Diceros bicornis minor: one gene and its partners. The protein of the gene in region 1 purifies or fractionates together with the protein of each later gene. This does not show direct contact. Links are inferred from orthologs where the notes say so. Each region holds a gene or a part of one and is shown in the gene's direction. Other genes may lie near its edges. The genes, in order: CUL5, WSB1, ASB2 and PCMTD2.

Region 1 (7,596 bases):
CTCTTTGCTTAACTGCTGTAGGAACACAGATGAGAGAGAAATCGATTCTCTTTGGGCATATAAATGGTTTAGAAAGACTACAAAGGAGAGATAATATTTGTCCTTGGCCTTGAAAGATGAATAGGAATTTGCTACCAAATGATGGGTGAAAGGGGTATAAGGAGAGGAGAGAATAGCATGAAAAATATACATATAGCATGAATAGCATGTCTTGTAGAGGAATCACTGACTAGATCACCCATGTCATATTATGATTGGTCATGCATGACATGATTAGGTATTTAGACTTTTTCCTAGGGTGAATAAGTCATCAAAGGTGTTTAATAAAGTAATTCTGGAAGCAATATAGAAACTAAACGGGAGACTGTTATAGGTTGAATTGTACCCCCCAAAAAAGATATGTTGAAGTCCTAACCTTCAGTACTTCAGACTGTGCCTTATTTGGAAACTATATTTGCAGATGATCAAGTTAAGATGAGGTCATTAAGGTGGGCCCTAATCCAGTATGACTGGTATAAAAGGGCAATTTGGACACAGACACAGACATATACAGAGGGAAGACTATGTGAAGAGACACAGGAAAAATGCCATGTGAAGGTGAAGGACTGGAGTGATACATCTACAATCCAAGGAACACCAAAGATTGCCAGCAGAAGCTAGGAGAGAGGCATGGAACACCAGAAGCTAGGAGAGAGGCATGGAACAGATTCTCCCTCACAGCCATCAGGAAGAACCAACTCTGTCAACACCTTGATTTCGGACTTCCAGCCTCCAGAACTGTGAGACAATAAATTTCTATTATTTTAAGCCACTCCATTTATGGTACTTTGTTACAGCAGCCCTAGGAAACTAATGCAGAGGCTATTGAGCAGTACAGTCTAAAGTGATAAGAGATTGAACAGACAACGACAGTGGGGAGTTCAGAAAATCATAAATCTGAAAGATATTGCTGAGGTAAAAGCAACAAGATTTAGTGATTGGCTGAGTATGCCAAAGGAGAGGGACAAGTCCAAGATGGACAAGGTTTTTATTCCATTTTAATCAACTAAATGTACTGTCTAAACTACCTTAGTATCCTCACCAGATCTCTTCTGAGACTAGGGACCTTATAAAAAGTCCCATGCCTTTTCCTCTGGCTAATGGTATCTAACCAAGCTATGCTTCTGACTTCCCATTCAAACCTTTCTTTGGGCTGGATTCCCCAATTTCTATTCTGTTGGCTCACAGCTATATTCTGCTCCTTCTACCCAGTCTCTTTAAGAGGCTTCAGTTGACCTACCTACTTTCCTTTCCATTTTAGTTCTGTCCTGGATGCTATCTCTCAGGTTATCCTTAGCTCTACATTCTGATGCCTTTAGACCAATTCTATCCCTCCTCCATACCCAGCACAAACTCCCAGCTTCCAGATCCAGCACCACAAGCTCTCACTTGTCTAGGGAGCTAGAATAGATACTAAAACCATTAACCAACCTGTAAAATATAGGACGAGAAAACAAGGCAAGAAAGCCATTGAGTTAATTTTTGGACATTATAGAGAATATATTTTTGACACAAAGGGAAGCCATTGACGCATCATTTCTCCAGGCCTGCTAATACCCCATATACCCCATCCAAAGGGATTGGCCTGCTGCAGGTTCCTGTCCCACAGACCATATCTCTTTGGTATGAACACCTGTTCCAACTGGGCCAACTAGATCGTCTCTACAGAGAAACGGACATCGGTCTCCATATGTGTCTAGATATCTAATACGGGATCTGCAGCAAATATAGTCTTCCGTACGGACTAAGCAGCAGAGAAAGCTGGTTTGCAGAGAGATAAGAATTAAGCAGATGTTAGAAGGAAGTAGATATGAAAAAGACAGAGACATATGCTGCCTGCGTTCCTTACAGCTTTCCCTTCCCTGGTTCCAATCCCTGTCTGATACCAGCTGTATTCCTGCCTATGAATTCTGTAAAATTTCTCCCTATATCCTTATGATAAGTGCACTCATCTTTTCATATCACCCTAACTGGAGTTTGTTTCAAAGAATCTTAACCAGCACAGATGTACTGAGTCTGAAATGTGTATCCAACATCTAAAAAGAGAGATAGTTGGAAATGTGGGTCTGAAGACAGAGCAGAGGTTGGGGAGAGGACACATGGTTTGGGTAAAGGAGTAACTGAAGTCAGTGGAGTAGATGAGGTCACCAGAAACAGCTCCAAGTGAAGGAAAAAAAGGAGAAAGGGGAAAGAGGATAGATGGATCTCTTAGGAACTTCAGTGCTTAAGAAATGGATCACCGAAAGAGGAGTCAGTGAAGAAGGTTCAAAAGTACAGGAAACCAGGAGACAATGCTTTTGTAGAAGACAAGAAATAAGAGTATTCAGGTTGTATTTATAGAAAATCCAACCACCAGTCGCTTAAACAGGTATTGATTTGTTTCAAACAAGATGTTCAGAGCTAGTACAACAGATCAACAAGTCCATCAGGGACTCAGGCTCTTCCTTTCTCTCCTACCACCATCTTTAGCATCTATCCTTCATTTTTATGTCACAAGATGGTTGTTAACATCTTTCAGGTAGAAAGGAAAAGAAAAGGAGAAAGGGTGAAGGGCACTAGGAGTGCCAGTCCCTTATCAGAAAAGCAAAAGCTTTACCAGAAGCCCTACTTCTGTCTCATTGGTCAGAACTCCCACACTTGCTCATCCATAGGTGGAGGAGGACTAGAAGAAAGAGGACTGTGGATAGGACTGTGATTGGGTCAGCCAATCAGCTTTCAGCAACAGAGTATATTCAACAAAACTACAGGGAGGTCAAGAAACTTGCTAACTAAAGATAGATAATGGGGAACGGGGTGATGTTTAGAAGTCCCTGGCAACGTTATCTAAAGCAATTTCAGGGGTATATTAGGCATGGAGAGGACTGTTGAAGACTAACTGATGGTTGAGAAATGAGAATAGGTGGTTCTTTCCAAACGTTTGAAAAGGAGAATAATGGAGGAAGCAAAATTCTAAAGAGGAGGCATAATAGAGAGATGTTTTGTTTGGTTTTAGGATTGTGGATACTTGAGCATGTTTACAGGCTGAGGAGTAGAAACAATTGGAGAGAGGACTTTTAAGATATAAATGGTATGAAATAAACATCAACGTTGGAAAAAAAGCTCAAAGAAGATGGGTGGCAGGGGATTAAAAACACCCTTCAAAGTGAAACCTCTTCCTCCAAAACAAGAAAGGAAGTAAGGATTAATAACGATAGCATAAGTTTGGATGTGGGCATGAAAAAAAGTGGAATTGTTGAAAATTCTATTTTGTCAAAAATACACTTTAAAAACTGTTTAAGTTTTAAAAATTAAATCTTGAATTCACTATTATCTAGTTTGAAGAAAGGCATTAGAATATAGTAAGATCTCACCAGAATTCAGGTGTGCTTTGTTTATTTAGATCCCTGACCAGACACAAGCTAAATAGAGACCACTTTAGGATTTTTCCGATTTATAGAACTGAGACAAGAAGAATGGGAGCTTTCATAAGCATCTCAATATTTCACTTTTTTTCTCCTTTCTCCAGGCTGGAGGGCGCCTGAGAGTACGGAGATGACTACTTGGCATTTTTCTCACTCTTCTGTGGTACTGAAAGCACTGAGGAACAGCTGGTGGTGCCAGGAACAATGGCCAAAACCCTTGCTAGAAGCATCCAGAATTTGCTCTGCAAATTTTTTTTCCATCCTGCTCTCAACTCCTTCACCTTAGAACGCCTCGAAGGTGGCGCTCAGCAAGGCTAGAGAGCAGGAAACGGCCAACTGGAATCTTCAGAAACGTAGAAGGTAACAGTAGTCACAAAGCTGATCAAACTGATGAAAGAAGCAAGAGCAGTGACCCACCTTATGGCCTCTGCGACTTCCAAAATCAGAGCCTGAATCTGACGAGCCCGCCCTGAAGCCTGTAAGGAAACGATTCTCACTTTTCATTGGCTGACCCTCCCAGAGGTGAGACCTTGCTTCATTTTCATTGGTTCTTGCTGCCGTCACGTCCTTTCACCACACCCGCTTTCCCGTCCACGCCCAGTGAGCTTTGAGGGAGAGTGATTTACAGAGGTCGGGGGCGGGAGTCTGTGCGCTGCGAGCCTGTTTCCCCCTCCCTCGCGCGGCGGCCCCGCCCCGCCCCCTGGCCCGAGGCCCCGCCCCCGCCCCGGCCGGGCCCCGCCTCTCCCTCCAGAGAGGGCGGGGACTAGGCGGCGGCCGCAGCCGCAGGAATATGCTGGAAGCCGACCGGCGGGCGCCCGGGAGGTGCTGAACGGACAGTTCCCGCCGCAGAACTTGCCCCGCGGTGGGAGGGCGGGTGGGGCAGCCAGCGAGTCGGCGGGGCACGTGAGCGATGGAGACCATCTGGATCTACCAGTTCCGCCTCATCGTGATCGGGGACTCCACCGTGGGCAAGTCGTGCCTCCTGCACCGCTTCACCCAGGGCCGCTTTCCCGGGCTGCGCTCCCCCGCCTGCGACCCCACCGTCGGCGTGGACTTCTTCTCCCGCCTGCTGGAGATCGAGCCGGGCAAGAGGATCAAGCTGCAGCTCTGGGACACGGCGGGACAGGAGCGGTTCAGGTAGGGCCGCCACCCCCGGGACCTCGGGGACCCCAGGGACCGCGTCGCCCCCTCCGTCCGCCCGGGCGCCCCTTCCCCAAGCGCCAGCCGCACCAGCCCTGGTCGGGAGAGGCTCCGGCCCCCCCCTCTCTAAAGTGCAGACACTCCATTCTCGCTTCCCCTTTGCCCCTCCTCTTCCAGGGACGACTTCCTCCTCCGCAATTTCTCACTTCTTTCTTTGGCGCCCATTTCCTGCGCCCCCTTTCCGTCTTTCCTTCCCGCCTGAGCCGGGGTCACCCTCGCCGGCCCCCTCTTCCCCAGCTCTCTCTGCCCCTGCTGGTATTTTGATCCCCAGCTCTTCGGCTCCCCTCTGCCTTCTCCCCAAACTCAGCGTCCCTCGATGCGCACCCCCTGACCTGGCCACCCACCTCCAAGCTCCCCTCTTCTTCCCCTAACCAAACGGCTTCCTACTATGCGGCCCGGGAGAACTGCAAAAGTAGCGTTTCCAGGTTCGTGATTGATCCCTTTAGCTTCACAGCAAGCAGTGCTCCAACCCAGGTTACTGCATGATCTCATTGGGCATGGTTCAGAGGGAGATGGATGCGGTAATGGTTTGAACACCTCATAGCGCCGAATGTGGTCATCACAAATACTGGGCTAGGACCCGTGGGAATGTGTCTTGTTCAGCAACTGGATGTAACATCAGGGTCACTGACACAGCTGAGGGTTTGTTTTGTTTTGTTTTCTAAGGGTTGTGGTGTCTTTAGAAGTTTGTCGTCATTGGTGCTTTGGTGGGGAAAAGAGAGATTATACTGAGATTTGTCAGGAACTTTTCCTTTATTTTATAATGGGTACTTAACGTTCCAGGGTGATAATAGATCAGAAAATACATTTCTAAATAGAGAAGGAGGGATCCAAATGAATAGTTTCATTCTAAATGTTCATTGAGACCCTGAAGGAAAGATTTCACAAAGGCGACTCATGTTACATAAGTAAAAACTAAATGTAAATCTTATGCATTTCCTGGATATTTAAGATTGAACCAGATATAAAGCACAATTCCAATTTCTAGAATTCAAGGACACTTTTTTTTAGAGGAAGGTAGGGAATGGGATATATTGTACTGTTTGGAGGTTTTTTAAGATTGCATTATCATTTGGAATTCATTTAAGCAAGCATTTTGCAATCTTCAGCAAGTACTCTGCTTGTGAAATCCAGTACTCCATGACGGGACTTCCCAAACGTGGCTTCCCCTCACCCCAGCCAGCATCTGTTCCGAGTGAGATCAGCCTACTTCTGAGAATGTTCCAACATTTAAAGTTTAGGCTTCCATTCCCAGCTGTGACACCGATTCACAGAGATGATAAGTGAACTGCTTAGCTTGCTTTTACCTTAGTTTTCCTGTGTATGAAGTGGACATACGGTAAGGCCAGCCCTTCAGAGAGATGTTTAAGGTTATTGATTTGAATTGTACAATACCTAGAATTCTGAAGAATTTTTTTTCAAGAAGCCTCCTTTAATTAAAATAACTCTTCAAACTTCTGATTCCTCATCTGTAAAATGAAGGAGTCATCATCGTCTCTAATATTTCTTGCAGTTTTACCATTCTGAAGTTGATGGCAAATTCCTTCACTTGTGATCTCAATCAGAGATGAACTTTAAGACAGTCCATGGTCATAAAAAAGGCAGAAAAAAAGCATTTACTAATAGCTCTTGCTCTACCTTCTGACATAAATATAATAAAAACATGTTCTTTATGCCTTAAACTTCTAGCAGCTATTGTGAATTGCAACTACAAGAAATACAGGTAGTAAAATCTTATTGTATCTAATAATTCTTTCTTTAAAAGTAGCTCCTAAACTGATTGGCAAGAAAGTAAAGGATAATTAATTTGGTAGATTTTAAAGACCTTTCTGCTAAATAGATCATTGTTTTTTAATGCCTTTAAGAAGAATGTAAATAGTAATTCATTTTATATACATTATTAAAACCAGACAGTCATTCTCCCATAATAATGCAAGGACATTTAGGGAATGTTTACTGACAATGAGTCATACTTTATTTTGTTTGGCTCTTTACCAAAGAAGTATTCATAAATACATACATATTTCAGTAGCTACCTCCAAATATGTACTTGCTTTTCTCCCCTTTAGCAGAATGTGTTTTTCCATAAAATTGCATTTAAAACAATTACTGTTAAATCATTCTGTATCTTTCTCCAAGAAAATACAGATACTTATTTTGAATAATAGACATCCTTGCACATTTATGTCATAGAAAGGTACTATAGTTCATGAAGATATATTCCTGTCATTAGTTATAATCACACCATTAGGAATTTGTTGGAAATATTATATTTGGAGGTTTCTTGGTGGTAATATATAAACTAACAAAAAGGAACCTACTTTAGACAGCCCAAATTGTAGCTTGAAAGCATAAACAAATATGTTACAGAACAACAAAGTAGTGAACTGATAATTATGACCATAATTAGCCTTAGTTTTCTTTTTTCTCCAGCTATATTGAGGTGTAATTGACAAATAAAGACTTAGTTTTTGATCTTAGATTAACATGTGCTAGTAGACAATACTTGCAAAAAATAAAAAGGAACAAAATCAAAGTGAAGGTTTAGAAAAGTAATGTGTATGTGAGCATATTGTAAATTGTAATATAAAACTCAAATGTCAAGTTTTTATTATTAACACTATGTTTTAATGAAGTTAAATGTTAAATTGCTGTATTGAGGAGACTCAAAATTACAGTGCCTTCATTAAAGATAGAAGTTTGTTTCTCTCTTGTGTAACAGTCTCAAGGTCAGTGGTCCAAGTTGTTGGAGTGGCTCTGCTCCAGACCATCGTTCAGGTATCTTCCCTCTTATTTTTCTGCCATCCCTAGAACATTTTCATCATCTGCGTGGACAAAGCTGGGTTGCAGGCACACTGTGTGCCAGCTCAAGGGAAAGGAAAAGAAAAAATCTAAATCAAGCAATGTTCCTTTTAAGCAAGTAAGGCCAATGTGGTGCAGATCACTTCTACTCGCA
Region 2 (7,488 bases), on another chromosome or scaffold:
GACATAGATGTAGAAACATCTAGACTGGCTGAACCACTTTTCACACTTTTGAGCCCTTCTGGGTATAGTTGTAAACTAAGATCAAATTATACATTTTTGAAAACCCATGCTAATATTCTCATGCCACACTGTCAAACACTCCATGAAAATGTGAAATCAGAAAGAAAAGTGAAAAATCAGAAAGCAGGGTAAAAGCTGGGGCACTATTAGACACTTCATCCCCAGCAAGACTACCGCAGCCAAAAGGAGTTGCCTCCAGAATTTTCCTCTGGGGTCTATTATTTTTCCAGCATGTTCCACAATTTTCTCTTACTGTTTATTAATACACGTGTTTATGTGTATCAATTATGCTTATCTTGTTGACTCCTGAGCAAATTCCACACTCTTCAATCTAGAATACCATACTCAACTCCACAAATCCCATGATTTGAAACTCCTACCCCGCACCCAAGCACAGAATAATTCTGGATGAATTCTCATGCTTTGCCTAAGGTTTAGGCTGGAGTAGTTTTAGTAACAAGAGGTCCAAAAAGCAAAAACAAGCAAAGAAGGAACTCTCCTATTGCTTAAACAATACAGGCTTTCCAAGCTGTTACTAACTTTTGTTTGTTTGTTTGGTCTTGGTCAATACAGAGTCAAAGAATGATGGCAATCTTTTTCGTCTTTGAGATTTAACCACGTTAGGGAACAATAAAATATTCGGTGGGCTTCAAACCCCTGTTGTAAAAGTTATTTTTTTCCCTTTATCTTAGTCATGTTTGGTTGTTGTTTTAAGTAAATATTGCTTCCCTTTAGTTATAGGAAGAGGACACTTACTTTCTTCTCTCACCAAGATACAGGTTTAGAAATAAGATTCTGAAGAAATCTGTCCCAGGAATCCTTATTTAGAGTCTCGTCTGTTAACTTCAGAGACCCATATGGATGTACATCTTAACAGCAATCCACTTGAATTGCTCTAACTTTTGGTGAACACGGATTCTCCCACAAAAGGCCACAATGGCGAACTGGTTAGATTCGTGACATCAAGAGAAATCTACCCACAATGTCCATATGAGTAATGAAAAGTTAATTACAGGAGAAACCCACCTTTCTGCACTATTAAGTATTATGTATTCCAGGGGAGGAAAGGAAGAAGTTCACCTCCAAATGAAGTTAAGTTTACCTACAATGATGTGGTGAAAAGTGTTTATCAACATAGAAAAATATGATTTTATAATATGAAAGCAAAAAGGCAAGATACAACTTTCATGTTGTCGTCTACTCAAATGCTAATTATTTACATATGCATCATTATATTTACTCTCCTTGAACAAAAGAATGTAGAAATTATTGCTCCCCCTCTTTTATGCTTACGTACCTCCTTGTCAGTATAAGAAAATGGTGTAGAAAAAACATACCCTTAAGTGGTATAATTATATGAAAATGCCAGACTGTTGATACAACTTTTTGCTGAGATGGGAGAAAATGGAATAAAGGAGGATGCAAATTAAAAAAAAGAAAAAAACTTCCACTTCAAGATAGTAAATGTTGGTTCAAAAATTTTGAAAGAGATAATATCCACATAAAAATTATGAGTAAATTGACCTTAGCAAATAACCACACAGCAGCAATGTTTTCTGAGTAACTCAAGAATGAGATTCAAAAGAATGAGTCTTTAGTGGTTGCATCACCTTTGTTTTGGAAATTAACGCTTTCCAGACCTTTTATTATTTTGATTATACATACAGTTAATGCTATTTTTATGGCTCTTTGCCAATCCCTTATTTTTATGAGATTTTGATCTTTCAATTTTGCAGTTAGCTTGGATTACTATATACAAAAATAGTATAACCCTTACATAGTACTCTGTGTCAGACCCTGTTCTAAATGCTTTTCTTGTATTAACTCACTTATCCTCAAAACTGTGAAGGTGGTATTATTACTATCCCTGTTTTATAGATGAGAAGACTGAAGCACAGGGAGGCTAAATAACTTGCCGAACGACACACAGCTGGGAAATTTTAAAAAGACTGGAAGGAACTACACCAACGCGCTGGTGGTGGTTTCTCAGAGTGCTGGGTTATAAAGGATTGTTAAGAGAGAAGACATGACAAGATCTTGAACTAAGGCCGCTGAACTGGAACAGACAGGACAGACTCCAGAACAATTTAAGAGAAAATACTGGCAGCGCTTGTGGACTGATGGATTTCATGTGTGGTTGAGCGAGGAGGAGGAGTCTAAGAAGACTGGCCTCTGGCTTGGATGAGTGGGTGGACATGTTCACTAGAGCAGGGAATATAAAAGATGGAGCAGGTTTGGGAGAGAAGATGATGTGCTCAGTTTTGACATGTTGAGCTTTATTGTAAGTATTCAAATATGTAACTTTTAAGCTCAAGAGAGAAGTCAGGTCTGGACTTGAGAGTCTTCACATCCGGCTGATAGTTAAACCCAAGAGAGGTTGCCATAACCCAAGGAGAAAAAAGAAGAAAAAAACTGTGGGCAAAGGACAGAGCTCTGGAGAACCCCAACTTTATGGGATATGCAGGGGATAAGATGGCCATTCAGATTGACGTTAAAATAACAAACATAGATGTGAAATGACGAGTATATATTTGCTTTTCAAGATACGTTTCCTTTATAAGAGACAAGGTAGCATGGAAGTAGGGCAGGGCAGTCGGACAAGCCTAGGTTCAAATCTAGCGCTTGCCACTTAGTAACTCTGTGACTGTTGTCAAGTTACTAAGTGTAAAATATGAATGATTAATTACACCACTTATACTGTTGTGGGCATGAAATGGGTTAATCCACCAAAGAACTTATATGAACAGAGTCTAGCATGTAGTATGGACCCAATAAACACTAGATATTATCACTAATGAGTACACAAATCATAAAGTTATTTTCATTCCACTGTCATACTTTGCCAGTTGAGAAAATGGTCAGAAGGTCTGTTGGCTTGCAGGAGTAAACTACTGTGGAATTCAATAGTTGTATGAAAAAGGCACCAAAATAATTCACAGACATTCAAGAACTGGTATTTTCCATGAATTTGTATGGTATAGTGCAAGTAAACACAAGTAATAGTTTGTTAAAAGAATTAACAGGGACTGATAGAAATGTTGGTATATGAGCTACAAGACTGCATTAAAAATTTTCTTTTGTTCTGCTCTAAATACTCAGCAACGAGCCCCAGTGCCAGGCACAGAGTAAGCTGTGAATAAACACGTTAACTGAATGTAACAAAGTGATTTTTTTTTAATAAGGAGGGGGGATGATTTCTTATTATTGGCCATTAAACATTTCACTATTATCACTCAGGCAAAGAAAAAGATGAAGTAGACATGCCCTACGTGTTGTCATTTGACATCTCTCAAGAGTTTGGCTACGCAACTCCTCTCCCCTCAGTATCTGCCGCATATTTGAAATTCCCAGCCTTAAATGTCCTCCTTTGGAATAAGATTTAGAGTCCAAAGAAGGGCCCATGAAAATGCAAATATGTCATCTGTAAACGGGAACAACTTGGCTTCTGGCAGACACTGACACATTTATCAGCCCTGCCGTGTGAACAGCTAGCTGCCCCCCGGGGGCCTAGACCTTGGGTGCAGGAAGGGCCGCTTCTGAGCTGGCACGGTGGGGTCTGCCTCGGCCAGCGGCCAGGAGACCGCTGACCACCTCGCTGCAGCCCCAGGGCAGGTCCAGCAGAGGAACCAGTCAGGACAAAGGCAGCCCAGGGAGGTCCCGTGGTGGGGTGGGACGCCATCATGCCCAGTCCTCTCCGCCCTTCCTAAAACCGGCTAGAACAGTCGCGGCCACACGTGTGGTGCATAGCGGTGTTCATTCTCATCCCGTCTTCTTCATCAGTGCAACCTCCAGTTCCCTAGCACATGCGGTCTGGGGAGGTGGCCAAATCGAGTTAAAATCTGAAATGTCTCTTGTGTTCTTTTCGGTTCAGCCAGTTTAAATTCCATGCAATCTTTAAGCTGTGGGCTAAGAAGTATTATACGAGTCTGTCTGCCTTTTCAAAGGCACTCAACTTATAAATACCATGCTGAGGCCCGGCCGGGAAAACCAGCCCGAGTTAAACGCAGCCAGTAGGCTCCTACTCGACGTCCCGACCTCCGCCCGCTGCGCTGGGCGGCAGCCCCTCCACCCCCGCCTCCGCGCTCTTCCTGCTCTCGGGGTCGGATCCCCCTAGACAACGCCCCCGCGCACCGGGGGAGGGCGGGGCGCTGGGCCGAGGCCGTCACGTCCCCAGCGTCGGGAGGCGGGGCCTCGGCCGTGACGCCATCAAGCCCCGCCCCGTCACCCTGATATCACCGGCTCCGCCCGCCATTTTGTCTCTAGTGTCTGGTTTGCCGTCGACAGCGTGGAAGGAAGTGTCTTGGTCCGTAGGCGTGAGGCAGGGAACAGGGTCTATTGTCTGTATTTGACTCTGTAGTTTGGTCCGAGGCCTTCGAGAACTTTCCTGGGGCAGTGGGCAGAGGCCGCCGCGACCGCCCCCGCCCCTCCCCTCCGTCCCCGGGACCGGGAGGGACCGAGCCCGCGTCACGCCCCTCTCCGCTCGCCGTTCCCTTCTCTGTCGTTGCGTCCGCATCGCGCCCCCGGAATCAGACGGTGCCCCATAGATGGCCAGCTTTCCCCCGAGGGTCAACGAAAAAGAGATCGGTGAGGAACGGGACGGTGGGTGCGGGGTGCTGGGGGGCGCGCGGGGGCTGCGGAGAGGCAGGGACTCCCGGAGGAGGCTGGGGAGGAAGCGTCTCTGAGTCCGAGGGAAGGAGGGGGAGCCGGGGCCAAGCCCTGGAGCGGAGAGGAAGGAAGCGCCCCGCGGGTGGGTGGGTGTCGCCGGGGGTGAGTGGGATCGACGCTGATGCAGCGCCTACTGTGCGCCTGCACGGAGGGGAGCGGTGCGCGGATCTCAGGGTCGACGGGGATCTGGGCGCCCAGTGGCCAGGGCCCCAGTGACCATGAGGCCAGGGCGGACACGCACCCCTGGGGACCCCAGTTTCCTCATCGAGCTAGTATTCTGGCATTCTCGTGGCTCAGCGGCTGGGGCATCGAGTGGACAGGGGGGTGCTGAGCAAGTCTCAGGGACCCTCAGTTAAGTTTACGATGGGAAGACTAAACTTGTGTGTTCTGAGCTGTAAGGAAAGGAGGGGTCCTCATGGATACCAACCACACTTTAAGGAGAAATGCGACGAAGAGGTGCGATCAGCCTGGAAAAAGCAATATTTTAAAAAATGATACGGCGGTAAGAAAGGCAGCAGTTCGGGGGAGGAGACGCGGCATTATCTTTCCTACACATAGGAGGAGGGAGGAGCAGAGTGGTTGGGTGGAGTGACAGAAGAAAAGCTGTTGTACAGAAGAGCAAACTCGACTCAGTGACTCAGTTGAAAGCACCTCGCGTTATTTAAATCCTTTCTTTTAAGGTAAAATAACTGGAACGACTTTTGGGGTAGTTGGGGCTGCTGTGTATTGATTGCTATGCTTAGGAAACATTGAACTGATCAAGTCATGGTGTCAGACACCTTAAATATATACAATTTTTACTTAAAAAAATAAAATAGATTTAGGATCCAAAAAAAAACGACAACCCAACACTGAACTTATTACTGTGTTCATTAAATGAAAATTTGAGGTGGCTACTGAGCAGAGAGTCTTGGCATTTTCCTGTTCTTCAAGTAAATGTGTGCTTTTACTAAATGCATGGAGGAGATATTTCTAGAGAAAGGGAGAAGCTAAAGTAGCCAGAATGCCCTCTATCCTGGAGTGGGTGAATTTTTATATCTGGAGACTGCTATCTTAGAATTCTGGACTTTTGTTCTTGTAGGGATAAGGTTGAATGGCTGGTTAGGGGGGGACTTTAACTCTGGCTTTAATAACTTTTTTAAACATACAGAGAACACAAAGTTCATGTCCAATTTTTATTTTAACTGTAGTTGAAGACTAGTAAGTACTTCCTGAAGTGGAAGGTAGAACTCAAAAGTTCTTATTCTCAGTCCAGTGGGTTTTTGTTTTTCCTACTGCATGTGATATCACAGGTGAGTGATCTGCCTTTCATTTATCTTTGTTTTACTTCATCTTGATGAATCTTTTTGAAAACTTTCCAGACTTCTCCTTTTTTTTTTTTTTGTGAGGAAGATCAGCCCTGAGCTAACATCTATTGCGAATCCTCCTCCTTTTTTTTTTTCCCCCTTTTTCTCCCCAAAGCCCCAGTAGATAGTTGTATGTCATAGTTGCACATCCTTCTAGTTGCTGTATGTGGGACAGGGCCTCAGCATGGCCGGACAAGCGGTGTGTCGGTGCGAGACCGGGATCCGAACCTGGGCCGCCAGTAGCGGAGCCGGCCCTCCAGTCCTCTCTTCTAAGGGATGGATAGAGCTTCTGAGCATGCTTAAGTAAGGTAGAACCATCCAAATAGCCTTTTTATTTTTAATTTTAAAAAATTGTTGCTCGGGCTGGCCCTGTGGCATAGCAGTTAAATGCGCGTGCTCTGCTACTGGCAGCCCGGGTTCGGATCCTGGGCGCACACCCACGCACCGCTTCTCCGGCCGTGCTGAGGCCGCGTCCCACATACAGCAACTAGAAGGATGTGCAGCTATGACATACAACTATCTACTGGGGCTTTGGGGAAAAAAAAAAGGAGGAGGATTGGCGATAGATGTTAGCTCAGAGCTGGTCTCCCTCAGCAAAAAAAAAAAGAGGAAGATTAGCATGGATGTTAGCTCAGGGCTGATCTTCCTCACAAAAAAAAACAAAAACATTTTTGTATATTTAGGTCTCATTGTTATTTCCTGTATGTAGTATAATGTTACTAGCTAACTGCCAAATATCTATCTAAAGGAACTTGGGCCTTTTCTAGCCTTTTTTTAAACCTCAGTTTTTTGTTTCTTTTTTGGAGTATCATTTGGATACAAAGTTAAACACAGATATCTCTGTGTAGCTTTGTATCTATCAGAAAGAACGGACTTTTTCCCTTTTTTGGGGTATTAATTATAGGTGTTTGGTTTCTCAAGTACATATTGAAAGAGGAGACGCAAAATTCCATGAATGATTAAAGACATCTAGGTGACAAGGAGTTACTGCCCTGAGCTCCTGCCCTCTTTCACGAGGCACTACCACAGATCCTCCCTTTCTGGTTATGAAATTGCAGGGAGGAATGTGAAGAAGGAGCTAAATCTGGTTTGCTTGGTTCAGCAATGACTCAGATGATGTGTTTCTACTGTACAGGTATTAATAATGTAGCGTTGTATCTTGTGGCTGATTTGCCAAGGGCAGGCAGCTTTTCCCTTATACAAAGGTCATTAAATCATAGGTTTCGTAGGATACTAACATTGAACAGTTGCAGGTAATGTAATAAAAGTTTAACTTATAACAATTTTTTTTCAAAGCACTTCATTTTAAACCTTGTCCTAGTTTATAATATTGTAACCAGTCAGTATTTACATGAGTGCTGAAATCATTTGATAAAAAGGCAGAGATCATTTGAAATGCCTGCTAACGAGCAAGGAA
Region 3 (7,261 bases), on another chromosome or scaffold:
GGGCAGACCCAGCATTGGTTCGGCCGCTCAACAATATAATGAAGGACCCAGAAGACCTATCATTCACTCTGTCAAACTCATTGTATCAACACTGTCCCCCTCATGGTTACAAGATGGCTGCTGCTGCTCCAAGCATCAAGTCCTCCAAGCACAAAGCAGGAGTGTGGGCACAGAGTCACTTCTTCACTGCTTTCTCTTTTATTAGGAAAGGGAAAGTCCTTCTTAGGAGACCCCAGCAGAATTTCCTTTATGTCTCTTCGGACAAAACTACGCTATATGTCCACTCCTAAACTAGTCACTGGCCAAGGGATAAGATTGTCCCAACTGACCATGGGAGAGAGCACACTGTTGCCTGAACAAAGCCAGGTTCTGCTGGCAGAGAAGATGGGGGAAATGGCTGTTGGGTGGGCCATCAAGAGGGTCTGCCACACCCTACCATATGGAGACATTTGGCCACCAGTGCAGTTGACTTTAACTGGGCATTCTCTTTGCATAAGACACTGGCCTTGGTGAAGAGGATCTTGGGTCATGTCCACACATGGACTACTGACCACAGCCCAGAGGGAGAAGTTCTAGCATCGAAACACTTCTTAGAAGAATCTGGGTAGGCTTCCCGGAAGAGGAAGCACTTGCTCTGGGCCTTGAGGGATGAGAAGGAGTTCTAAGAGTGCAGGAGGGAGGGAGATGTGTCAGGCACAGCCCAAGCAAGGGCACTGGAGTGGGAACCGCAGGCGGGTTGGGGGAAACGTGTGTCCCCGCCTTACCTGGAAGTCAGGTGTGTAAAGGAAGAGGGTGAAGGGAGGGCGAAGACTAGATTTCGAAGGGCAAAACCACTGTGGTATTTGGTAAATTGATGGTATTTGCTAAAGGAAAACATACACATTTGTTTAATGGTAACAACTCTCCTTTGCTATTTGCTAGGGCTTCATAGAGCAACAGTTGTTACTCTTAGGGTGGTAACAGGAATTGGAAAAAAGAATATCTACCAAGAGCTCGGTGTCAGGTGCCACCCCTCATCCCCTCCCCCCATGGCTGTCCCGCCTCTATTTGTACTTTATGGCTGGTCATTCTCCAAAGTGGTGGTTCCCGACCACCTGGGGGGCTCTTCAGAGAAGTATGATACCGGCCCCACTCCCAGAGATCCTGACTTAATTGGTCAGAGGTGGGGCCCAAACACTGATACTGTTTAGAGCTGATTTTATACACTTTTTAAGTAGCTATGTTTGCAGTATAGGTGCTCACAGAGAAGTCTACAAGCCAAACTTGAGCAGCTCCTGGGAGTCTCACAAAGGGAACCAACCAGCCGTGTAACGACTTAGTTCAAGAAACACAGCATGGGGACCAGCCCAGTGGTGTGGCGGTTAAGATCGCATGCTCCGCTTTGCTGGCCCAGGGTTTGCCGGTTCGGATCCTGGGCACAGACCGACGCACTGCTTATCAAGCCACGCTGTGGAGGCATCCCATATACAAAATAGAGGAAGGTGGGCACAGATGTTAGCTCAGGACCAATCTTGCTGAGCAAAAAGAGGAAGATTGGCAACGGATGTTAGCTCAGGGCCAAGCTTCCTCACCAAAAAGAGAAGCACAGCATGACCGGCTCCCTGGAATCTCCCTCCTGTCTCCCCTCAAAGGGAACCACTGTTCTGACTTCTATCAGCACAGTTTAGTTTTGCCTGTTCTTGAACTTTGTATAAATGGAATTGAGTATACATGTTCCTCATTATCTGACCTGCTCACTGTGGTTGGTGACATGCATCCTGTTGTGTGTAGTGGCTGTTTGTCACTTTCACTAGAGCATGCTAATCATCCCGTGAATACACCACAACGTAGTCATCCACGAGAGACATTGAGGAGTGTCCGTTTGGGTTTACCATGAATGGCGCCGTTATGATTCTTGAACTTACCCTTTGGTGAGCATATGTACACAATTCTTTTGGGCGTAGAGCTAAGGGTGGGCGCTTGGGTCACAGGGCATGTGCATGTTAGCTTTAGCGAATGCCATTCATTTTCCAAAGCGGTTTTACCGTTTCACACTCCTACCAACGGTGCTGAGCAGTCTGATCGCTCGCATCCTCCCCAGCTCTTTCTAGTTCCCGTCTTTTTCACTTGAGCCGTTCTGGTGGGTGTATAGTGGTATTGCGTGGGGGTCTTAATTTGAATTTCCCCCGGACACTTACGAAGTTAAGCGCCCTTCCATTTGGTTATTGGCCATTTGGATGTCCTCTTTGTGAAGTACTTGGCCGAATCTTTGGGGTATCAGTTAACTAGAGCCACAGGAATGCTACATAAAAAGCACCCCAAATAACCATCTACTCTTGTGCTTTGGGTCTGCAAGACTGCAGACAGGCTAATCGAGGCCAGCCCAGGCTGCTCTGCTCAGCTTCGGGCTGCAGGCCCTGCCGGGTGGGGCTCCTCTGTGCAAGCTGGACTCTGTGAACTGCCCCAGGGGGGTTTACTCCGGGGTGCAGCTAAAGGGCAGTGGCTGCAGGAGGAGCTCTGCTCTGGCGATGACGGGAAAGCCAGCCCCACTGCACAAGCCCATGTCAAGTGGCTGCTTTGTCATGTCCACCAACAGTTACCGGCCGGAGCAAGTCACAAGGCCAAGTCTAATCTCAGTGAGTAAGGGGGCGGGGCACTCTGCCTCCAGGGGGAAGGGGTGAATATTTGCCGAACAAACCAAATTATAGCACTGACATTTTGGATATATATATATATTTTTTGGTGAGGAAGATTAGCCCTAAGCTAACATCTGTTGCCAATCCTCCTCTTTTTGCTGAGGAAGACTGACCCTGGGCTAACATCCGTGCCCATCTTCCTCTACTGTATATGGGACGCCGCCACAGCATGGCTTGATGAGTGGTGCATAGGTCCGCACCCAGGATCCGAACCTGCAAACCCTGGGCCACCAAAGTGGAGCATGCAAACTTGACCACTACACCACTGGGCCAGACCCACATTTTGGATATTTTTAAAAAGACCTCATATGATTGTAATGTTCAGCCAGGGCTAAGAACCATTGACCTATAGTCACATCATGTGTCAGCTTAGTTGAGGAAAAGAAAATCAGGCTTAGTTGATTTCCTAAGAGCAGTTGATTCAACCAAAGTCCGTTTCTCCTTGAGGCATTTTTTTTTTTTTTCCAGAAGAGAGTCCCTGGAATTAACATGGCAAATTATTTTAATAATTGATTTTAACTAGGTCATGCAATCTTAAGTAGCGGGCCTGTGTCCGATTCATCTCTAGTATTCTCAGCCCTAGGACAGTGCAGAGAAATGGAGAAGTGCCGGGACAGATGGGATGTTGTCGGATAATTAGAAGGGAGGAATGTAAGCACCATTGTGTAAGCTCCAGGAGGGCAGAGATTTTTGTCTGTTGGGATCATTGTTGTATCATAGCGCTTGGAAGAGTGCCTGACACAAAATAGGTGCTCAATAAATAATCTCTCATTTAATGATGCATGCATACACGTATAGATAGGCCGTGTGGATTGGAAAAATGAATTGTGGATGGTTTGTTGGATAGATAAATGTATAGATGGATGGATGGGAGGATGGGTGGATAAATGGAAGCATAGATGGGCAGATAGATCAGAGGATGGATAATGGAGGAATGGGTGGATGGTTAGATGATAGATACGTGAGTGGCTGGCTAGGAGCGTGGATGGTTGAATGGATGGATGATTAGATAGTTGGATAAATGGATGGATAAGTGGACAGATGGGAGGGTGGATGGATATATGAGTGGCTGGATAGACAGACGGATGCATGGGAGGATGAATAAATGGACAGATGGGTGGCTGGTTGGATGGATGGTTAGATAGGTGGGTGGACTGGTGAATAGATGAGTGGATGGGTGGATGGATATGTAGATGAATGGGTGGTTGACTTGATCATATGACAAAATAAATGGATAAAAAATGATTGCGTGATTGCCAGAAGAGAGCACAGCCTTCCCCGTGGGTAAACATAGCTATGTTGCAAAACTGTTAGTGACCAGGATGGTTTTGGTCTCCTCACAGGGTTTTCTGATTTGCAGTTTCCTCCTCCCCTCTGAGTGTCTCTCCTGGAGGCTGGGCTGAGAAGTGGAGGAGGATGGCCACTGAGATCCGTGCTCGGGGCGGACAGCGTACCATTGGGCACGAGGAGTACAGCCTGTACAGCAGCCTGAGTGAGGATGAGCTGGTCCAGATGGCCATCGAGCAGAGCCTGGATGACAAGACTCGGGGCCCTGCCACTGCTGAAGCCACTGTGTCCACACGTGCCAATCGCCAACCTGCCCATTTCTACCCATGGACCAGGTGAGCGAGGAGAAACCAGCTGGGTCATCCATCAGGTGCAGATCCCAAACACTGTTAATCCAAGGCCAAATTATCGTGATCTCTAGGCTGCACTTTAACACCTTAATGACTTACATTTGTTATCTGAACGTACTGAGCTCTGATGGTGCCAAGTGCTGTGTGCTAATCCTGTTAAGGACCTTCTAGGAGGCTCTATGCTATATTCCCATTTTACAGATGAGGAAACTGAAGCTCAGGGCTGAGTAACTAGTTCAAGGTCACACAGCTAGTAGATGGTGTTGCAGAGATTGGAACTATCTGGGTCCAAAGCCCGTGGCTTGGCCTGCACAGCTGACTCAATGTTTGAATACAGTAAAACCAATGTTCTGAGTCTGACCAGAGCTTCCAACCCCGTCTATGCAGCCTCTCTGGGACAACACATCTGAGAAGCAAACGACAGCTACCCAGCAGAGCCATCCTGCCTCCTTGTTCTGGCTCCCCCATCTCAGCATGACCATCCCAGATGCAGGACCATCTAGAGCAGCACCACGTCGCGCCAATAGAAATACGGCGTGAGCCACAACTGCGGCGACACTTATGCAGCTGTGAACATCCTAGTAGCCACATTACAAAGTAAAGAGGAAGAGGGGAAATTAATTTGTGTCTAAAATATTATCATTTCCACACATCACCGATATAAAAATTGTGAAGGAGATTTTCACATTCTTTTTTACATGTCAAGGCTTTGGAATCCACTGTGTATTTTGCACTCACAGCGCCTCTCCATTCAGACTAGCCACATCTCAAGGGCTCACTAGCCATATGTGGCCAGTGGCTGCCGTACTGGACAGCACAGACCTAGAGGACACCTTCTCTGTAGGAGGTGGAGCCAGAGAGGTAATTAGGTCTTGGATCTTAAAATGCTTTTAGAAAAGAAATATACACATTTTAAAAATGTTTCTGCTCACCAGTGAGTCCAAGTCAAGTGTGTATTTTGGGGTTGGTGGAAGGGGCTTGGGAATTGCTGTGACAGTTGTGTTGGTGTTACCTTGGGGCATGGGCCTCAAATCTCATTGTCTCCAGCAGCCAGCTGACTCCCTGTGTGACCTTGGGCAAGTCACTTAACCTCTCTGAATCTCAGCTTCCTTCTCTAATAATAATAATAGTAACAACAGCAGCAACAATAAATAGACTTTTTCCAATGTCCAGTCCCAGTTGACAGGGATGAAGGTGGGTGACAGTCCGTCTCAGCCCTGATGAAACCTACCAGGGCGCTTCCCAGGTGACTTTGGCCCTTACTGAGGCTGGACCACCTCTGCCGGGCAGGCTGGGCAAAGGCCTGGGAGGCCCAGCCCTGAGGAGCTCCTTCTAAAGGGGAAGGCAGGCAGCCTCCTCGGGCAGCTGGAGGGAGTGTGAGGCTCCAGGTTACTGAGCTGCCCCAGAGGACGCCCCATTCTGCGACCCAACCAGAAAAACAGGAGCCCAGAGCCGAGGACTCCTCATGGGGGTGCTCTCGGAGGCCTTGGTTCCTGTTCTGGCCAGTTCAGCCAGAGTCAGACCACAGGTTCCCCTTTCTCAGTAGGGCATCAGATAGAGAGAGAGCACCCTCCCACCTACTGGGCCTGCAGCACAAGCCGGCACGTCCCGGGGCGTCTGCAGCCTTCTCCCCAGCATGGGGGCCCCACCCAGGTGTCCCAGGGACACTTAACATCCTTAGAACTGAAGGGGCTCTTGAGGTTGGGTCCTGACCCCCTCCTTCCTCTAGAGGGTAGGGAAGCAGAGACCCACTGTGGGACATAAACGTTCACCCAGTCTCCTAAAAAAAAAGCTCTCACAGAGGGGCTGGCCCGGTGGCGCAGCGGTTAAGTTCACACTTTCCGCTTTGGTGGCCTGGGGCTTGCGGGTTCAGATCCTGGGTGTGGGCCTACTCACCGCTCATCGAGCCAGGCTGAGGCGGTGTCCCACATAGAAGAACTAGAAGGACGTACAACTAGGATATACAACTATGTACTAGGGGCTTTGGGGAGGAAAAAAACCTCTCACAGAGAAGTGAAATGACTTAGCCAAGGTCAAGTGGCCCTCACCTAAGATCCAGGCACAAGTAATGTAGGGGAGAAGGATTCGGCCTTCATCTCACCCTTGATGTGACCTCAAACCTCCTAGGTTTGGTTCTGCCCCTTTGTCTCTGGAAGGAGGCTGGGCTTGGGCCCTGCTGGGGAAGTAAATCCCTTTACTCTGATTTTTGTGTGTGCTTGTGTGAGGAGGACTAGCCCTGAGCTAACATCTGATGCCAGTCCTCCTCTTTTTGCTGAGGAAGATTGGCCCTGGGCTAACACCTGTGCCCATCTTCCTCTACTTTATGTGAGACGCCGCCACAGCATGGCTTGACAGGTGGTGCGTTGGTGCGCACCTGGGATCCAAACCTGCGAACCCCGGGCCTCCAAAGCAGAGTGCACACACTTAACCGGTGCACCACCGGGCGGGCCCCCATTACTCTGACTTTTAACGTAATTCTCCTCCTCCTGCCCTGAATGCACACTGAGTGCTTCCCACGTGCCTGGCACACAGCCATTCAGTGATCCTTACGAAAGCCACACAAGCTGGATATTTCTGTGCCCGCTTTACATATGACAAAACATGCGCACAGTAGGACCAGGAACTGAACCACAGTCTGGCCTGATCTGAAGTTCAGACGTGTCACCAGCTCTGCCGATTCTGCAAAAGCCTCTTCTGTTTCCTCTCCCTCCTCCACCTTGAAGTGGGGTCGGTCTCACTACACCCGCCTCCCACCCACAGAGACTCAGGGTCCCCAGAGACATGAGACACACAGGCTTGTGCCTGACACCAGACAGGGCATCACAGTACGTGCAGGACCCGACAGAGTCCTTGTTTGCTTCTATCCCTGAATGTCACAGTTTCCATCCAAATAGACTCAGAGCAGGTGTAGGAACAGGATGTCACACATGTCCCCAGAGGTCCCACATG
Region 4 (7,814 bases), on another chromosome or scaffold:
TGATGTACATTCTGTAGGTTTTGACAATGCATGTGTCATGTATCCACCATTATGTATCACACGGAATAGTTTCACTGCCCTGAAAGTCCTCTGTGTTCCACTTATTTGTCCCTCTCTCTCCCCTACCCTCATCCCTGACAGCCACTAATCTTAGATCTACTCTTTCTACAGTTTTGCCTTTCCCAAAATGTCATATTGTTGGAATCATACAGTATGTAGCCTTTTCAGACTGGTTTCTTTCCTTTAGCAATAAACATATAAGGTTCCTTCGTGTCTTTTTATGGCTTGATAGCTCAATTCTTTTTATCAGATTTACAGTCCATCGTCTGAATATACCACAGTTTGTATGCCCATTTCACCTATTAAAGGATATCTTAGTTGCTTCCAAATTTTGGCAATTACAAACAAAGCTGCTATAAACATCTGTCTGCAGGTTTTTTGTGTGGACGTAGTTTTCATGTCATTTGGGTAAATACCAAGGAGTGCAACTGCTGGATCGTATGGTAAGAGTCTATGTAGTTTTGTAAGAAACCACCAAACTGTCTTCCAGAGTGACTGTACTATTTTGCATTCCTACTGGCAGTGAATGAGAGTTCCTGTTGCTCCACATCCTCACCAGCATTTGGTGTTCTCAGTGTTCTGGATTTTGGCCATTCTAATAGGTGTGTACGGTATTTCACTGGTGTTTTCTTTGCATTTCCCTGACGACATGAGATGTGGAGCATCTTTTCGTATGCTTACTTGCCATTTGTATATCTTCTTGCTGAGACACCTGTCCAGGGCATTGTGAGTTGTTTTGTTTTTTTTATTGTTGAGTTTTAAGAGTTCTTTGTATATTTTGAATACAAGTCTTTTATCAGATAAGTGTTTTGTGAATATTTTCTCTCAATCTGTGGCTTGTCTTTTCATTCTCTCGATAGTGTCTTTCACAGACGGGAAAAATGTAAATTTAATGAAATCCACCTTACCAATTTTTTCCTTAATGAATCATGTGTTTGATGTTGTATGTAAAACAACATTGCCAAGTCCAAGGTTACCTAGATTTTCTTCGATGTTATCTTCTAGAACTTTTGTGTGAAAATGGAGAGGTTTGTGTCTAGATTCATTTTTGTACATGTGGATCTCCAGTTGTTCCAGTACCATTTGTTGAAAAGACTACCCTTTCTCCATTGAATTGATTTGCTCCTTTGTCAAAGAACAGTTGCTTATATTTATGTGGGTCTATTTCTGGGCTCTCTATTCTGTTCCATTGATCTATTTGTCTGTCTTTCACCAATACCACGCTGTCTTGATTACTGGAACTTTATAGTAAATCTTGAAATTAGGTGGTGTCAGTCCTCCAACTTTGTTCTTCTGCTTCACCATTGTGTTGACTTTTCTGGGTCTTTTCCCCCTCCATATAAACTTTAGAATCAGTTTGTTGATATCCACAAATAACTTGCTAGGATTTAATTGAAATTGCATTGAATCTACAGATAAAGTTGGGAATATCTGTCAATTTATTTAGATCTTTGATTTCTTTCATCAGAGGTTTGTAGTTTTCTCATAGATCTTATACTTTTTTGGTTAGATTTATACCTAAGTATTTCATTTTTTTGGTACTGATGTAAGCAGTGTTGTGTTTTTAATTTCAAATTCCAATTGTTCATCGCTGGTATATAGGAAAGCTTTGATTTTTGAATTTTAACTTTGTATCCTGCAACCTTGTTAAACTTGACTATTAGTTCCAGGAGTTTATTTACTTATTTTTTATAGATTCTTGGGTATATGCTGTATAGACAATCTTGTCATCTGTGAACAAAGAGGTTTTTTTTTTTTTAATTTTTTTTTTTTTGTGAGGAAGATCAGCCCTGAGCTAACATCCATGCTAATCCTCCTCTTTTTGCTGAGGAAGACTGGCTCTGAGCTGATCTATTGCCAATCCTCCTCCTTTTTTTTTCCCCCAAATCCCCAGTAGATAGTTGTACGTCATAGTTGCACATCCCTCTAGTTGCTGTATGAACAAAGAGTTTTATTTCTTCCTTCCAAATATGTATACCTTCCCCCCTCCCTTTTCATATTTTATTGGATTAGCCAGATCTTCTAGTACAATCTTGAATGGGAGTAGTGAGAGAGAACATCCTTGCCTTATTCCTGATCTTGTGGGAAAGCATATAGCTTCTCACCATTAAGTATGATGTTAGCTGTGGGCTTTTTGTAGATGTTTATCAAGTTGAGAAAGTTCCCCTCTATTCCTAGTTTGCTGAGAGTTTTTATCATGAATAGGAGCTGGATGTTGTCAAATGCTTTTTTTCCATCTATTGATAAGATTATATGATTTTTTTCTTTAGCCTGTTGATGTGATGATGGATTTCACTGATTGATTTTTGAATGTCGAACTAGCTTGGCACACCTGGAATAAATCCCACTTGACTGTGGTATGTAATTCTTTTTATGTATTGTTGGATTCAATTTGTTAATATTTTGTTGAGGATTTTTGCATCTATGTTTATGAGTGATATTGGTTTATACTTTCCCTTTCTTGTAATGTCTTTGTCTGGTTTTGGTATTAGGGCTGGAGGTTTATCAATTTTACCATTATTTTCAGAGAACCAGCTGTTGGTTTCATTAATTTTCCTTATTGATTTCTTGTTTTCAGTTTCATTGATTTCTGCTCTAATTTTTATTATTTCTTTTCTTCTGTTCATTTTGGATTTAATTTGCTCTTTGTTGTGTCGGTACCCCCCCCTAGTGATGGTGATGCTCTAGGCTAGGAATGCCTGAGGCACTTTCCAGGGCCTGTACTACTTGCAGTAAGCCCCACAAACATTCCCTCCCACCCCACTACTGGGGCCAGTGTTGTGGCTGGGCCGGCCCTCATGGTTCTTATTATGATCGCAGGATGCACTTTAGCAAAAACCATGAGGGAACTCTGAGGAACAAGACTTACTACTCACAAGTCCTGGAGGGTCCCTGGCGTATCCAAGGGCCACACAGTGAGGTTGTTGGGCGGGGGGCGCCCTGCGCTTATTAGGGTCTGAGGATGGGATGTCTGGGTTTCATGGGGTCACTCATTACTGGCAAACTTGAATCATAAGGGCAGGAACTACGACATGGAGACTGGAGGCAGGGTCACTCAAGTGCTCAGTTATCTTGGTCGCCAGGGTTTTCTGAAACGGGACCTTCATGGGTGTGGGAGGGGCTAGTTAGTCTCAACTGATTGATTTTTCTCCTTATTATGAATTGTATTTTCCTCCTTCTTTGTATGCCTGACAATTTTAGATTGGAAGCCAGACATCGTGAATTTTACCTTATTGAGTGTTATATTTTGTATTCTTACAAATATTCCTGAGCTTTGTTCTGGGACACAGTTACTAGGAAGCAGTTTCAAGTCCTTCTTTGACTTGTTTAGTGGGGTCTGAGCAGTAACCAGTGTGGGCTAATTATCTTCACTACCAAGGCAAGATCCTTCTGTGTGCTCCACCCAGTGTCCCGTGAACCAAGAGGTTTCCCAGTCTTTGTGTCAGCTGGGATGTCTCCAGTTGCCATCATGGAGACTCCTATGCAAACCAGCCAGACAAGAAGAAACACTGGTTCTCGGCTCACTTTGCGGGGAGCTTAGACCAGGTCCCTCCAACCGCGCGGAGAGGAGAAGGTCTGTGCAGGCGCAGGGGTGGTGATACCGGCTCAAGACAAGGTTGACATGAGGGAAACCATACTGTAGAAGAGAAACCCTGTTGTAACTTTGAATGACCTCCGACTAACTAGCCCAGCTCGATCTGCACCCTCCAGGAGATCTAACTGCTCTGTAGATTTTACCACCCCTGCTTGTGCATGTACCTCCCAGCTGCCATAAGAGGATAACTATGTTCTTTTGAGTTCCTTAGGAATGTGATAACTCCTGAAGAGAGAGTCTGTGCTGATAGCCATCATCAGTGAAAACTGAAAGATCTGGTGTGGCCACTCCCAGTCTATAACACCCTGGGGTCAACATTCCTAACCCTCTCCCCTGTAACTCAATGGCCTATATAACTGCTGTAAGATCTTCTGCCTCCTGAAGATGGCTCTTCGAGACGTGACACGGCCACCTTCCCTCTTGCTAGCAAGCTGTAATAAAAAGTCCTTTTTCTCCTACCTCCTTGCGTCTTGACTATTGGTATGTCTTGTGGCGGCCAGACGAACCCCCTTTTTGGGCAGTAACAGTGGGAGGTGGCGACGGGCTCTGCCTCCTCGGCCGGCAGGGGTTCCCCCCATTCTGCTCTCTGCACAGGGCTGCCTCCTTCTTGTCTCCCCGGAGATCCCGAGATCTTAGCTCGGATGTCTCTTCCGTGGTCCCCAAGCCACCACCGCAGTTCAGTCCGTCAGTCACCCCGTGTTTTCACTCCCTCCTCCCCTGTCAGCCCCTCCCTGGAATGTCATTTCCAGAGAAGGGGCCCTGCTTAGCCGGCTCACAGCCAAGTACTGGTTCGCGGTGAGGCCCGGACGTAACAATTCTCACCTGTGGCTGCCCTTTGACCGCCCCCCCCGCCCCCCCATTCCCCGCAGAGTGCGATCAGCGGTCCGGCCCGGAGGACTTGGGCAGAGAGCGCGGGCGGGGCCCAGCCACGGCACCGTTGCCGCTTTAAGCTCCGGACCGTGGCGCACGCGTAGTGGGAGCCCTCGCGCACGCAGGCGCAGTGGGGTGGCGGGTGTTTACGGCGGCGGAGGTCGGAGCGGAGCGGCGGCGACGGGCGAGGGGCAAGGAGCTGCAGGCCGGGCAGTGCTCGACCCCGCGCCGGCCAAGCCCTAGGTAGAGCCGCCGCCCTCCGCCCCGCGCTCCTCACCAGCTGCCCCCATACCCCGCGGGCGCCCCCTCCCCAGGGGCCGTCCCCTCCCTCGCGGTGTCCTCCCCTCCCCTCCTCCGGGGCCGTCCTCTCCCCTCCCTCCCGGGTGTCCTCCCTTCCCCTCCCCTGGGCCGTTCTCAACCCTCCCCCAGGGGCCGTTCTCTTCTCTCCCCCGCGGGCGTCCCCTCCCCTGGGGCCGTCCTCCCCCCCTCCTCTCCGCTGGCGTCCCCTCCCCCGGGGCCGTCCTCTCCCTTCCCCCGGGGGCATCCTCTCCCCCTGGGCCGTCCTCTCCGCTTCTCCACTGGCGTCCCCTCCCCCTCCTTCCCCCTCCCCCTCCTTCCCCCCTCCCCCTCCCGTCCCCCCTCCCCCTCCTTCCCCCCTCCCCCTCCCGTCCCCCCTCCCCCTCCTCCTCCCCTCCCCCCACCCCGGTCTCCCCCGTATCCTTCCATCTCTTCCTACTCCTGTGTTCCCTCCGCGTCTTCACCCCAGCTTTCCCCTACCCACCGCGTCCAGTCCCCTTGTCGCCCCCCCCCCCCGCGGCATCTCCCCCATCGCGGAAGTCTGTCTCCCTTCCCCCCCTCCCCTGTCCCCTTCCCCGGAGGGGAGTCTCGGGCTGCGCCCAGCGGTTTGCCCGCCGGCGCTTGGGTATGGGGGTCCCGAGGTCTGCCCCCTCACTGGTGCCTGCACCCTTGGATCTACTTAACTCTCCGATGCGCACCTAGTCTCTAACTTACTAAGTGGGAAAGGTTTGCAGTTAGTCCTAAGGCAAGTCAGGAGTCATCGAGATTTAACACAGATTCTACCTTGGACCTTTATGGAAGGTGACAAAGTCTATTTAAAAACAGTTGCCCCCCCCCCCCAAGTTTTGGGGCTACTAAGAATTGGTGCAGAGCGCTGGGACTGGACTGGAGGAGTGGTTGGGGAAGGAAAACTTACCCGGGCTTGGTGTCTGTGTTTTGTTTGTTTTTGCAAAGGGATGTGGCTCTCAAGTTGATGTTTGCTCCAGCATCAAACCTCAGAAGAGTCGTCTCACTCGCTGCCTCCGCCCTTTACTCGTGTGCCTGTATGCGTTTTCTTTGTTCTTTTTGGCAAAGGAGTGGCTGAAGTAAAGAACTCCGCACTGCGTGTTGAATAGACTGTCATTCAAGAACTAGTGAAGTCAGGTTCCTATAAACAGCTCAGAACTTGTGGCAGTGCTTGGGGGAAATAGAGACATACACTCGGGGAGAGAGGGAGTCTCAGAGGTGATGGGGTTCAGCTCCTGGACCAAGCCCTGGTTGTACCTGTCTGGGGACATCCCTGGGGTTGGGGGACTCCATGTTCTGAGAACGTGTCTGTTTGCAACTCCAGTTGTCAGAAAGCTTTTGTGTGTGTTTAGTATAAACTGTCTCCACCCAACAAGTGTTCCATTGGTCTGGCATTATCAGGCCCGTGAACAGTGTATACATGGCAGCCTTTCAAGTATTTTGAAAATATCCCTTTGCATTCCTTGTAAGAGTTCTGGGTTTCAAGACAAGAAGTCTCAGTTTCTTCCATTACTCTGCGGAAGGAGTGGTTTTGGGTCCGCCCCAGCTCATCTTCCACGTGAATTACTTTGTCCATATTCTTGAGAAGTGACATTCAGGTTGGAGCATGGCCCTCCATGTATAATCTGACAAACCCAGCGTAGACTGGAATGGTGACCCCCATTATCACAGCTTCATGTTGTCTTGACCCGGCCATAGTCACAGCCTCATTAGCTGTCAATCATGAGACCTTTCCATGGCTGCTGCTGCCCAGCCATCTTCCTCACTGCACCCTGGCAGTCAGTTTTGGAAGGAGGTTGTCCTGTTAGGCTGTGATCAGTTACTGTGAGTAGTGAATTATATTAAGGATTGCAAAGTATAATCAATCAAGTGCAGCGTCCAAACAATGATCTGCCATTGCTTTGAAAAATTGGATTTGATGGGATTATAGATCTAGGTTTGGTTTGGCGAGGGTAACTTTGAACCTGTTATTGGTGTTTTTGGTGGCTTGACTGAGCACATCGGTGGTCAGTACTAAGCAGTGGTTATTTCCAGTGTGAGGTAGTGTTAGATTACCAGGCAAAGTTAATATGTGTTAGACCCTGCAGATGGTCACATGCATCCTAGCAGTGGCAACAGATAGGGTTACCCCATAGTTATTTAGTCTGTCATTTGGGACAAAGATGATCAATGTGTTATATGGTAAAGAATGTTGCTCCCTTGAGAATTTTTAAAAGCTGCATTTGCTGTTGGGTAAAGAAAATAGGCCTTTGGCCAGATAGTCCTGTGTTTGAATTCCAGCCTTCTCCTCACACGTTGGTGTGTGATCATGAGCAAAATGACTGCTCTGTCCAAATTTGCCTCATAACGTTGTGAAGCCAAAATGAAGTTGTGACTGGCAGGTGGTGCCTGTAAAAAAGTTGTAGCTATTTTTGCAAAAAGCTAGCCTTTGCATGTGTCATAAACTTTCAAAGTGAGGCAAAGTGGAAAGTAAGTGAAAGGTACTCAGTAGAAAATGAAACGTGTCCAGTATCAAGTTTGTGTCTGCCTTCTGAAGATAGAATGATGGTATTGAGACGGAAGGACAGAAGATTGTATACAGGCTTCTGGGGGAAGAGATGGGTTTCAGATCCACCGTGGAGTATAGATACGTGGTTGTCGGCTTTTTCCTAAATAGATGGTGAGGCAGCCAAACACAACTCCACTTTTAACCAGTGACCCAAATTTTAAGATGACTGTCCTAGACCAGGGATGTAGACTTGAGCGTCAGAACTACGTGGCTTATCCAAGATTAAACTTGACCTCGTTAGTGCTTTTTCCCACCCAGCTAAATTAACTGTCCATGGACCATAATCTCACAAGGACTCTGAAACAACAACTTAAAATGGGAGTGAAAATCGAATAATTGGACCATCCTAGTGATTTGAAAAGCCTATTCAGCTCTAAGATCTTGATGATGAAGGTGAATTGTTCCAACCGTAAAACAAAAGAGCGTTTGTGTTAAGCC

What was found.
Region 2: the proteins of CUL5 (region 1) and WSB1 purify together in Homo sapiens (affinity purification with mass spectrometry; 4 studies listed by BioGRID and IntAct, counting the BioPlex papers as one, with this or other methods). This does not show direct contact. The link is inferred for Diceros bicornis minor from reciprocal best matches to the Homo sapiens genes CUL5 and WSB1.
Region 3: the proteins of CUL5 (region 1) and ASB2 purify together in Homo sapiens (affinity purification with western blotting; 5 studies listed by BioGRID and IntAct, counting the BioPlex papers as one, with this or other methods). This does not show direct contact. The link is inferred for Diceros bicornis minor from reciprocal best matches to the Homo sapiens genes CUL5 and ASB2.
Region 4: the proteins of CUL5 (region 1) and PCMTD2 purify together in Homo sapiens (affinity purification with mass spectrometry; 4 studies listed by BioGRID and IntAct, counting the BioPlex papers as one, with this or other methods). This does not show direct contact. The link is inferred for Diceros bicornis minor from reciprocal best matches to the Homo sapiens genes CUL5 and PCMTD2.

Annotation. Positions count from the first base shown.
Region 1 is NC_080746.1:27,791,553-27,799,148, reverse strand, and holds the start of CUL5 (cullin-5), read left to right. Parts: upstream 1-4,326; 5' UTR 4,327-4,350; coding exon 4,351-4,577; intron 4,578-4,904; exon of another isoform or gene 4,905-5,065; intron 5,066-7,596. UniProt on the Homo sapiens protein: Core component of multiple cullin-5-RING E3 ubiquitin-protein ligase complexes (ECS complexes, also named CRL5 complexes), which mediate the ubiquitination and subsequent proteasomal degradation of target proteins.
Region 2 is NC_080757.1:20,206,890-20,214,377, reverse strand, and holds the start of WSB1 (WD repeat and SOCS box-containing protein 1), read left to right. Parts: upstream 1-4,336; 5' UTR 4,337-4,604; coding exon 4,605-4,644; intron 4,645-7,488. UniProt on the Homo sapiens protein: Probable substrate-recognition component of a SCF-like ECS (Elongin-Cullin-SOCS-box protein) E3 ubiquitin ligase complex which mediates the ubiquitination and subsequent proteasomal degradation of target proteins.
Region 3 is NC_080763.1:39,509,771-39,517,031, reverse strand, and holds the start of ASB2 (ankyrin repeat and SOCS box protein 2), read left to right. Parts: upstream 1-4,091; coding exon 4,092-4,297; intron 4,298-7,261. UniProt on the Homo sapiens protein: Substrate-recognition component of a SCF-like ECS (Elongin-Cullin-SOCS-box protein) E3 ubiquitin-protein ligase complex which mediates the ubiquitination and subsequent proteasomal degradation of target proteins.
Region 4 is NC_080758.1:26,767-34,580, reverse strand, and holds the start of PCMTD2 (protein-L-isoaspartate O-methyltransferase domain-containing protein 2), read left to right. Parts: upstream 1-4,659; 5' UTR 4,660-4,768; intron 4,769-5,401; exon of another isoform or gene 5,402-5,623; intron 5,624-5,633; exon of another isoform or gene 5,634-7,769; intron 7,770-7,814. UniProt on the Homo sapiens protein: May act as a substrate recognition component of an ECS (Elongin BC-CUL5-SOCS-box protein) E3 ubiquitin ligase complex which mediates the ubiquitination and subsequent proteasomal degradation of target proteins.